3 linked regions of the Cricetulus griseus genome follow. The protein of the gene in region 1 interacts with the protein of each later gene in a pairwise test. Links are inferred from orthologs where the notes say so. Each region holds a gene or a part of one and is shown on either strand. Other genes may lie near its edges.

Region 1 (4,231 bases):
ACTTTGACTTTCAACTTCTAACCCTCATGTCTCCACCTCTCGGGTGCTGGGATAATAGGCATGCACCACCATACCTGGTTTTAATTTTGGTTTCCTAAGAGAGGATCTATGGGCTGGAAATAGCTCTTGTTGCTTTTGTAGAAGACCAGGATTTGATTTCCAGCACCCACCTGACAGCTTAGAACCATCTCAACTCCAGTTCCCAGGGATCTGAAGCCCTCTTCTGGCCTCCTCTGGCACCAGACATATATATGGAACTCAGACATACATGCAAGCAAAACGTCATAAAAATAAAAAAAGTAAATTTAAAAAAGAGGAGAGTCTAGGCTTAATTATACAGCACATAACTAAAAAATAAAGATCTAAAAAAACAAAAGATAGGCTCTAAATATATGACCTAAACTGGTCTCCAAATCATGGCAATCCTTCTGCCTCAACCTCCTAAGGGCTGGGATTTCAGACATGAGCCACCACACCTGGCTTGGGAAGTTTTTATGTCTCTCCCTTTTAATCTTATATATAAAGAACATTCAGCATTGCACAGCAGTTGACTGAGCCCCTGAATACGCAAGGACAAAGTCCTTAATGAAGTGGTTTGTGCCTAACATTCTAAAATGACATATCAGTTGATGTCAAAAAGAGTCAAAGCATCTTAGTGTGACAAAGGTAGAGAAGGAAAGGGTTGTTTGTGTTTCTGTGGTGATATTTTGTTTATGATCTAACAAATAAAGCTTGCGTGAAGATCAGGGGGCAAAGCTAGCCACACTAGCTAGCCATAGAGGCCAGGCAGTGGTGGCACACACCTTTAATCCCAGCACTAGAGAGGAATATAATACAGGAGGAGACAGGAGCTCATCAGTCTGAGGTTTGGAGACCAGTGCAGTCAGAGGAGCAGTGCAGACTGAAGATGCAGTCTGAGGACACGATCACCCTTTTCCACCTGAGCACTGGTAGAGGTGAGAACTCTCTAGTGGCTAGCCAGTTTGCTTTTCTGATCTTCAGTTTTAACCCCTACATCTGTCCTTGGGTTTTTATTATTCCTGCTACATGTTTTTGGTTTGGTTTTGTTTTGAACTTTTGAAGATTTTATTTTAATGTGTATAGGTGTTTTGTCTTCATGTATGTCTGTGTGCCACATCCATTCAATCTACAGAGGCCACAGACCCAGAAAATGGCATTGAATGTCCTAGAACTATAGTTACAAGTGGTGGTTAGCCACCCCATGGGTGTTGAAAATTAAACCCAGTTCCTCTGGAAGAGCATCAAATACTCTTAACAGCTAAGCCCATTTTTTGTTTGTTTGGTGGTGGTGCTTGAGTCCAAACCCCCAGATGCTAAAGTGCTAGGCAAGAGCTCTGCCACTGTAATAAATATCTCCCAGATCATTTCTGCTTTTTTAAAAAATGATTTGTTCATTTATGTGCACGTGTGTTTGCTTCCATGAGTTTACCTGTACCAAGTGTAAGCAAGAGCCCCAAGAGGTGAGAACACGGCATTTATAATCCTGAAACTAGAGTACTGAGCCTTCACCTGGGTTCTGGACCAAAGGTCCTCTGTAAAAGTAGCAAGCACTCTTAAGCACCAAGCAATCTTTCCAGATCCAAGAAGAATTAAGGGGGGAGGGGTTTATCAGTAGCTAATAGTAAGAGCAAGCCTTATTGCTAGGAGCCACGTGGTGACATGAGCCCCCTTTCTCTTAGTGCTAATTTCTATCAGTCTGCTTGTCCAGGTCATTGAACTGAACTCTAACACGCAAAAAAGCCATTACTTGCTCTTCTCCTTCCTCTAAAAAAGAGGGAATCCTTCAAAAGCTCCTGAAGGGATTAGACATACTGCATCTGGGAGATAGAGGCAGAAGGATCAGTAGTTCAAGGTCATCCTTAGTCACATAGTAGTCGGTGGTCAACCTGGGCTACATTTGAGTTTGTTTCAAAAAAAAAAAAAAAAAACACAAAATAACAAAAACAGCCCCTGAAGAGTACTGGATTTCTAATAACCTGCTATGCTTATCTTATTACAGTTGAATGACAAATATCCACATTTCTGGAATATTTTCCTGTCCTAGGTAGGAAATGGAGGCACCAGATCTTTCCCTGTCCCCTATCCAGACCAAGACCCAAGGCCTAAGTTGTGTTCTACCTGCAGCAAATTTTAATTACAAATTTACTAAAGGTAAAAGTATAAGTGAGCAGTTATCTAACCTCCTCCTTGAACCCAGCAACACTCCCTCCTGATAACAAGCTGCTGTTTCATTAAAATAACAGGCCCCAGTGAAGTCACACCAGTCAGGGCACTAGGTAGAGTCTCAAAGTTCTCTTCTGTATTTTACAGTCTTAAAGAGACAGAAGTCCTCGTGCAACTAGTATTTATTGCTATTTAAACAACCTACAGGGGAAAAAAATAACTCGTTTAAAAGGTAGCAGGCCGCGCCACCTCTTTTGCAGAGCCTGGAAGAGTGTGCTGGGAGGGTGTGGAGGCGGCTTACTTTTCTCCTCCGCGTTCTTCACTCTGTCACCGCCTTCGGGGCAGCACTGGCAGAAAAACACGAGCGGCAAACAAGTTAGACTCCAGGAAGTGTGGTTCGCACCGGCCTCCCAAGGCCCTGCTGTCGGTGGGGGCCTCGGCCTCTCCCGGGGGCTGCGACCTGCACTGCCGGGACCCTCCCCGGGACAGCGGCGGCTCTGCACCGCGGCGGCCTCCCTCCCCCGGGCTTCCGGGGACGCTCACCGGGGCCGCCGGCTCCTGGCCCGCTTCGCCAGCTGCGAGCATCCTGCCTCGATTCCATCCGCCGCCCGCCCGGCTCATACAGCCCAGCCAGGGCAGCCGCGAGCAAAGTAAGCAGTGCCGCCACCTCGACTTCCGCTCGCCCTCTCGCTGGTTCCGTTCTCGCAGGCTAGAGAGACAGACCCACCTGCGTCGCCGCTGTCCTGTTCCACGGCGCCACCTGCTGCTTGGCTGTCAGATCGGCTGCGCAGGAAACCCAAGTGGCTCTCCTACTTCCCAGCCTGGTATGGGCTAGCATCCTCCCCTGTGTCAGAGCTCCTTCACTTTGCAGTTAATAAAAACAGAATTCGGCCCTGGCCGAGTGACTCACACTGGTAATCCCACCATTTGGGAGGTGAGGGAAGGCAGGAGGATCGAGAGTTCAAAGTCAGCTCCAGCTATTTACTGAGCTCAAGGCGCCCTTGAGTACACTGGAGAGATGGCTCAGAGGTTAAAAGCACTGGCTGCTCTTCCAAAGATCCTGAGTTCAATTCCCAGCAACCACATGGTGGCTCACAACCATCTGGAATCAGATCTGGTGCCCTCTCTGGCCTTCAGGGACATATGCAGACAGAACACTGCACACATAATAAATAAATAAATTTAAAAAAGAAAGAAAGAAAGAAAAGAAAATACTTTGGCTTTGGCCCTCTCATGGGAGGCAAGTCTCGTGATTCAGAAGCAGAGGCAGGAGGATTGCCACTAGTTTCTGTGTCAGCTAGGGGGCAACATGGAGAATGCCTATCTCAACATGACTTAGCCTGTACAAGAACTTGCCACCAAGACACCTGTGTTCCATATGGTGGAAGAAGAGAAGCAACTCCTGCAAGTTGTCCTCCGACCTCCACGTACCTCTTCGATCGCCCCACCAATAAATAAAAGTTTAAAAATTCTAAGTAATAATAGAGCTCTCTCCATGTCATAGATCTTATATGAAACTGCAAATTTATATAAATGTTTAGATACTATCCTGATGTTCTGAAAATTAGCATGGTGGCCAGAGCCAGAGCAGGTTATTTGGTTTGGCATGGATTTACTAATGAATGCCAGCACCAGATCTTTATTTAATGCTGGTCAGATTGCATAGAGATGACCTTCATCTTTTCCAACTGGAGAGCCCAGATCTATTTGTAAGGGGGTTGAAGCATCCTGGAAGCCTGATAGAAGAAAAGCACTCAAAATCTATCATGCATTTTGCCTGGCAGAGCCCCCCAACCCTCTACCATTTTCCGGATAGGTAGAGCACATCTGACAACCTCACAAGCAAATCCTGGAAGGCAAAGCAAATGGGGCCCCAGCAGGAAAAAAATCTTTATAGAAAACAGAAGCTACTCAGTGAGAAGAAAACTCACTGTCATGTAGACATATGCAGACAAAACACCTATATACATAAAATGAAAATAAAAATTAGGAGCCAGGAGTGGTGGTGCGTGCCTCTTAGCCCAAAACTCAGAAGGCAAGAATCTTT
Region 2 (2,350 bases), on another chromosome or scaffold:
CTTAAAGTTGCTTTTTGTTAGGGTGCTTTATCACAGGAACAGAAATGCAAACACAACTGCTCAATATTTAAACTGTGTTTTGAGTTGATAAGAAATCATTGGTTTTGAGATACTTTTGAGTTTAGCATGTAGGCTAAATATTGTGGAGTATTTTTAGTGGAAGCTGGTATATTTTGTTTTGCAAGGGACAGTACTTACAATTCTAATACATATTAAGTACAATGATAATGTATTTTAAATATGCATAAATTAGATTTGCTATCGACATTGCTTTTGTTAGAAAAGATAATTTTCTGAGTCAGAAATTGTAAATTAGCCTTCTGGTGTATACATCCCACAGATGTTTCCCATATAGTTTATGAAGTATTTTGATCATAAATGTGTAAACTATTTTGATCTCAAATGCTAGTGCTAAAAACAGTGATGTTTCTTTTGAAAAGGAGATGTGTTTTTGCAATAATGAACAAAATTCATGTTAATAACAAATTGTAGCCACATCATGGCTGTTATTTTCAGGCAGAGTCACCAGTTCATCACTGGAATGCCTGAATTTATTTTATTCATTTGCATTCACAATGTAGATTGTTCTTCCCTTATTTGTGGGCAAGTAAAAATTTAACAAAATGTGCATGTAAAGAAATTTCTTAATTTTTCGTTAATAAATAAAGGAATCACAAAGCCTTTTGCTTTAATGTATTTTTTTCCTGGTAAACCAATTTCCTTTAGAGATGATAGGAAACACTAGAAGTAGTCAGCATCCTAAAGATGTTAATTTTCTTCTTCACAGCTTATCCCACTAGCTAGTGGGAAAGAAAGTAACTTCAAAGTTATACTTCCTGGAGTTCCACTATTTTCCGCTGTAATTTCTTTAGATCTTTCTGTACTTTATATTTCTCTAAATCCATTTTTGTTTTCTGTATTTGTTGGAGAGAGCTGAGGGAGTCATGAATTGACTTAAATCCTAGAAGAGGAAAAGAGAATAGATACACTAAAACAATGCATTGGATCTCTCCCATCTCCAAAATTGTTCTTCAGCAGTCCTTCCATAATTGATCATCATTTAATTCAAAGCACATTAAATTCTATTAAGACAAATATAGAAATATACAAAGATGAATTAGTTCATAGCAGCTTAACTGGAATCTGGATTTATTGTGAAAACTGTTTTCTTTCCCCTCTCTGTAAACATATTTGATGAGGGATGTCCTTCTGTATATATGTTTCTCTTATTGGTTGATGAATAAAACACTGATTGATCAGTAGCCAGGCAGGAGTATAGGCAGGGCTATCCAACAAAGTGAATTCTGGGGAGAGGACTCAGAGAGTGAGCTGCCATGGAGATACCATGTAGCTGTTGAAGGAGTAACAGTTCCTGGCATTCTCCGGTAAGATAAGGCCATGTAGAAATAAATAGATTAATAGTTATGGGTTAATAATTAAGAGAGAGCTAACCAGTAAGAATCCTAAGCCATTGGCCAAACAGTTTATAATTAATGTAAGTCTCTGTGTGTTTATTTGGGGCTAAACAGCTGTGGGACTAGTGAGACAGAACCTCCATCATCACATACTATCTAACAATTCTATCTTTCAGGAGATACTTAAAATATTCTCTTCTCTCTGTAGACGTCAAAAAAGATTTGTGGGCTTTAAAAATATTCCTGTTACTCCCTTGACAAGTACCCTGCTTGAAGGAACTAAAAAGTGGGGCCAGCTGCCCTTTTCCAACCCTCTTCCCACCCTCTTCCTACGCTCTTCTCACCTTCTTCCTACCCTCTTCCTATCCTCTTCTCACCCAGTGCTCTCTATCTGTTTTACTCATGTCTGTCCCTCAGGGCCATAGGCTTGTCCGACCACAAGCTTAGAGGACAGCCCATTCCCTACTCCCTGAGGTCATCCACATATTTGCTTCTCAACACCTTTTTATTAAAAGCACAAAGGAGTAAACCACTCATTTATACTCTCTCTTAGCTAGAATTCCCACTTACTAAACAAAAAAGGACAAAGATTGAAAAATTCTCTTCTACTCACCCTAAGCAACAATAAGCATAATTAAACCTCTGAAAACAAAGCAAAGAGGGCCCTTGTCAGAAGAGTCCATGGAGTTTCGGATATGGCTCTTGGCCATGTAAGTCACTATTTTAACTTGGTGGAAGGAGGTAGGGCATGTGAGGGTTAGCTTTCTAGACATTAAGTTCTGCTTACATGCCAGGAACACTAGGTGGATGAAGGCTATAACACCCTCTTAACTCAACTGCAGTGTGCCTCTGTGGGGCCAAAATTTTGTGTGATTTACATGTGTATTTTCTAAGACTTGGAGGACACAACCCAGATTAGAGCTTTCTTTAATAAA
Region 3 (3,633 bases), on another chromosome or scaffold:
GAAATCTGAGCTCAGAGAATGAACAGGACTTGGGTAGTATCTGAATGAAGAGGGTTTTACCAACACGTGTCAGGAAAGCAATTGATCCGTGCACTGAAAAGGAACCCAAGCATGCAACAACAGAAGACATAAACTGTATTTTACCTGAAAGAATAAATGTCACTGGGAGCTGACTGGGCCTTCTCCCTCCTGCGGCCACCAATCCCATGTGCCTGATGGAGGAGGGCAGGGAGGTCTGAAGTAGTGAGGCCCAGGAGACATGGTGAGAGGGAAGAGTATTTATTTTATTACAGGAACTCGTTTGTTGCCTTCTCCCATGAGGTCGGCAGTGGCAGACTCAAGCCAGCCAGCCAGCTTCACTTTTTCTTGGGCTCCTTACAAGCCACCACGTACCTCTGGGCCACATTGAGAGGAGGGGAGTAGCCGTCTGCATAGGAAGTGTCTTCAAACAGGACTGAGTAGTCATCCTGAGGCTGTAGAGCACACACAGGAAGGGCTGGTCAAGATGCTTCTAGGCCAGGGCAGCCCCTCCTTGCCCAGAGCCCCAGATGCATCTCCCTGCCTGCCTCTCCTACTTTCTTCTCTGCTCTCAAGTCAAGGGGTCTGGTGCTACTGGGAAAGCCTATGTTTAGGAGATGAAGGACAACAAGAAGGCAGCAAGCAGGCAAGCTGAAGAATGATGGGGACCAACCCTTAAGGTTCTGGTGTCATCAAAGGCCTTTCATGTGGCTCCTTACCCGCTGTGGGGGTGTGTGGATCAGGGCACGGTAGAAGCAGGTGGTCTGGGGATATAGGGCCAGCACCAGCTGCTCCTTCTGAAACAAGGCCTCAGGGTCTGTCTCAGGGTTAGCTTTCCACTGGGGCAGTGGGATGATGCGCCGCCGACTCAGGGTGTGTCTCCTGGGGGAACAATACAGGCCGTGACCAGGAGGCTTCTCCCAGAAGCTTGGTGACTCTCCACTGCTCCCCACCGGGACACTCACTCTTTGCCTTCTTCATCAATGTCATCTACCTCATACCTGTGGGCAAACAAAAGGGAAACAGTTCTGGGACAAAGAGCGGTTTGCATCCAAGAGTAAGGCTGAGAGAGGGTGAAAAGGGGATGGAGAAGCTCGAGAGAGCACCACCCAGCACCCTTTGGGGGGAGTTTTCCTCCCATGCTGCAGAAGCTGGAGTGGTGAGAATGCAAGGTCAGGCACACACTCACTTGTTGGTAGCATGGCTGTAACTGACTACTTCAGCTAGGATCCACTGCTCATCCCCATCCACAGCCTTCACTCTAGCAGCCACCTTGTCTCCAGGTTTGGCCACATAGTCCCCTGAGGCTGGAATGGCTCCACAGAGGGGTGGGGGCCTGTGAGAGAAAGCCCGTTAGTCTGGCTCCCTGTCACCAGCCCTCTCTGGCTAGTTCCTGCCCTCACTTGTCACCAGGCTTCCCGATCCAGAGGGGCAGGGTCATGGCTGACTGCTGCAGCAGTGTCATCAGCACGCCTCTGCGCATGGTCTTCCGTGGGGGCTCCGAGTCATTGTAGAGACCTGCGATCTTGGCCGCTGTGGGAAGCAAGTGAACCCCTGAGGCCAAGTGGATGGTGTCTGACCCAGTCACACCCCAGCAACTGCTCTGAGTTGGAGCACTTTATACCAGGATCCCAAAACCATCCACACCCCTTCTTAAGGTCAGGAACTGACAGCCTAACTCAAGTGGGTGAGATGTCAGGACAGTGGCCACCATCGTGGAGTGGAACTAAAAAGGAGGGTTTCCAGGATATAGGTTATATTATGTCTCCTGACCAGGATGCTGGATATATAAATGTGCTGGGTCAATGAAAATTCCTGGAATGTATCTTCTTTCTACTAGTGTATGTAATTTCAACAAAAGTTGCACAAATTATCTAGTGTGGATCCTTGGTCTCATCAGCCATGGCTCATCACACTCTTCAACTAAAAACAAAAATGGTACCATGATGGTGATATGGGGTAAAGAGTTGCATCTGGGACAAGACAGAAGTCAGGAAGCCAAGGCAATGGCACCTGAGGAACCTACAAGGTAGGGGGCTAAGCCAGCTTACATGTGGCCACCAAAGCATGCCACAGAGGGAGCAGCGGTAGGAAGGAGAGAGATGACCAGCCCTGGCTAGAGTGAGCAGGGCAGTGTGAGTGGTGGGACAAAATTTCCTGGGTCTAGGCAAGAACTAAGCAAACTCTCTGCCTCTGAGTCTGTTTCAGACAGCTCTGTTGGGTGACCCCACCAACCTATGTCCCATATTCCCCTGCCAAGGCTATGACTGCTTCCCCCCAGCCCCCACCTGGCCTGGTCAAGAAATACCCTGCATTTTCTCCCACTCACCTATCCGCCTCTCTTCCAGCAGAGACTTGATCTCAGCTATCTTATCCAATGCTTTTCGGAGGATGCTAGGCAAAGAAGGGAGAAAAGAGTGCTGGGTGAGGCACTCAGCGTATGCTTCTTGGCGATCTGGACTCCCCAGACCAAGTCTATGCTGAAAACTACAGATCCTGTTGCGTGTGGTGGCTGACACCTGTCATCCTACCGTGTAGGAGGCTGTAGTAGTCCTGGAGTGAGTTTGATGCCATCTTAGCTACACAAAGAGCTCCGGGTTTGCCTGGGCTAGAGTGAGACCTTGCTTCAAACAAAGAAGGAGAGGCTATAGAGATGGCCCAGTGAATTAAGTGCCTGTTGTGCAAGCCTGAGCATCTGAGTTAGATTCCCAAAACCCATCTGAGAGCCAGACATGGTGGTGTGTGCCTGCAATCCCAGCACTGCATTACTGTGGAGACAGCTGGGTCTTTGGAGTTCACTGGCCAAACAGCCTAGCCAAATCAATCAGTTCCAGGTTCAGTGAGAAACTCCGTCTCAAAAACTAAGGTGGACAATAATCAAGGAAGACATCCAGTATCAACCACTGCCTTATACATGCATTCTCACCCATGGGCATGCACACTCACATGCCTGAGGACCTACACAAATATAGGTACATACTTCATAAACATATATATACCACATGTATACACAAGATAGTAATAAAAACAATGAAAAAAATAAATGAAACTATAGCCCCTAAATAGAAATAGGCACTACCCCTGATATCTCAGTTAACAGGTCTTTCTATGCCACAATCCTATGACAGTGGCCCCACAGGATTTTACTGCCTCATGGCACCACTGCCAGCTTAATGTCACAGTGAAACATATCATATTCTCTGCACTGACAGTCACATATATGCAGGGCATATACAATCATATACACTCAATCACACTTGATTATAGTAATGACCATGCCACTGATTTAGAAGTTTACTAAGGCTGGACAGATGGCTCAGCAGTTAAGAGAACTGGCTACTCTTCTTAGGGTCCTGAGTTCAGTTCCCAGCACCCACATGGTGGCTTACAACCACCTAGAATGGGATCTGATGCCCTCTCCTGGCATGCAGGCATATAAACAGATAGAGCACACATATACATAAAATGCATAAATACATAAATAAATTAATTAATAAAATTTAGCTGGGTAGTGGTGGTGCATGCCTTCAATAACAGCACTTGGAGGGCAGAGGCAGGTTTATCTCTGAGTTTGAGGCCAGATTGGTTTACAGAGCAAGTTCCAGGACAGTCAAG

Evidence for each region.
Region 2: the proteins of Rint1 (region 1) and Fam81b interact in binary tests that used the Homo sapiens proteins (3 or more experiments, as listed by UniProt). The two-hybrid records come from large-scale screens. The link is inferred for Cricetulus griseus from reciprocal best matches to the Homo sapiens genes RINT1 and FAM81B.
Region 3: the proteins of Rint1 (region 1) and Sgf29 interact in binary tests that used the Homo sapiens proteins (3 or more experiments, as listed by UniProt). The two-hybrid records come from large-scale screens. The link is inferred for Cricetulus griseus from reciprocal best matches to the Homo sapiens genes RINT1 and SGF29.

The regions. Positions count from the first base shown.
Region 1 is NW_023276806.1:170,823,708-170,827,938, forward strand, and holds the start of Rint1 (RAD50-interacting protein 1), read right to left. Parts: upstream 2,887-4,231; 5' UTR 2,806-2,886; coding exon 2,728-2,805; intron 2,532-2,727; coding exon 2,486-2,531; intron 1-2,485. UniProt on the Homo sapiens protein: Involved in regulation of membrane traffic between the Golgi and the endoplasmic reticulum (ER); the function is proposed to depend on its association in the NRZ complex which is believed to play a role in SNARE assembly at the ER.
Region 2 is NC_048595.1:297,337,940-297,340,289, forward strand, and holds the end of Fam81b (protein FAM81B), read right to left. Parts: intron 962-2,350; coding exon 828-961; 3' UTR 570-827; downstream 1-569.
Region 3 is NC_048596.1:74,077,085-74,080,717, forward strand, and holds the end of Sgf29 (SAGA-associated factor 29), read right to left. Parts: intron 2,413-3,633; coding exon 2,348-2,412; intron 1,552-2,347; coding exon 1,422-1,551; intron 1,355-1,421; coding exon 1,208-1,354; intron 1,020-1,207; coding exon 984-1,019; intron 901-983; coding exon 738-900; intron 474-737; coding exon 357-473; 3' UTR 264-356; downstream 1-263. UniProt on the Homo sapiens protein: Chromatin reader component of some histone acetyltransferase (HAT) SAGA-type complexes like the TFTC-HAT, ATAC or STAGA complexes.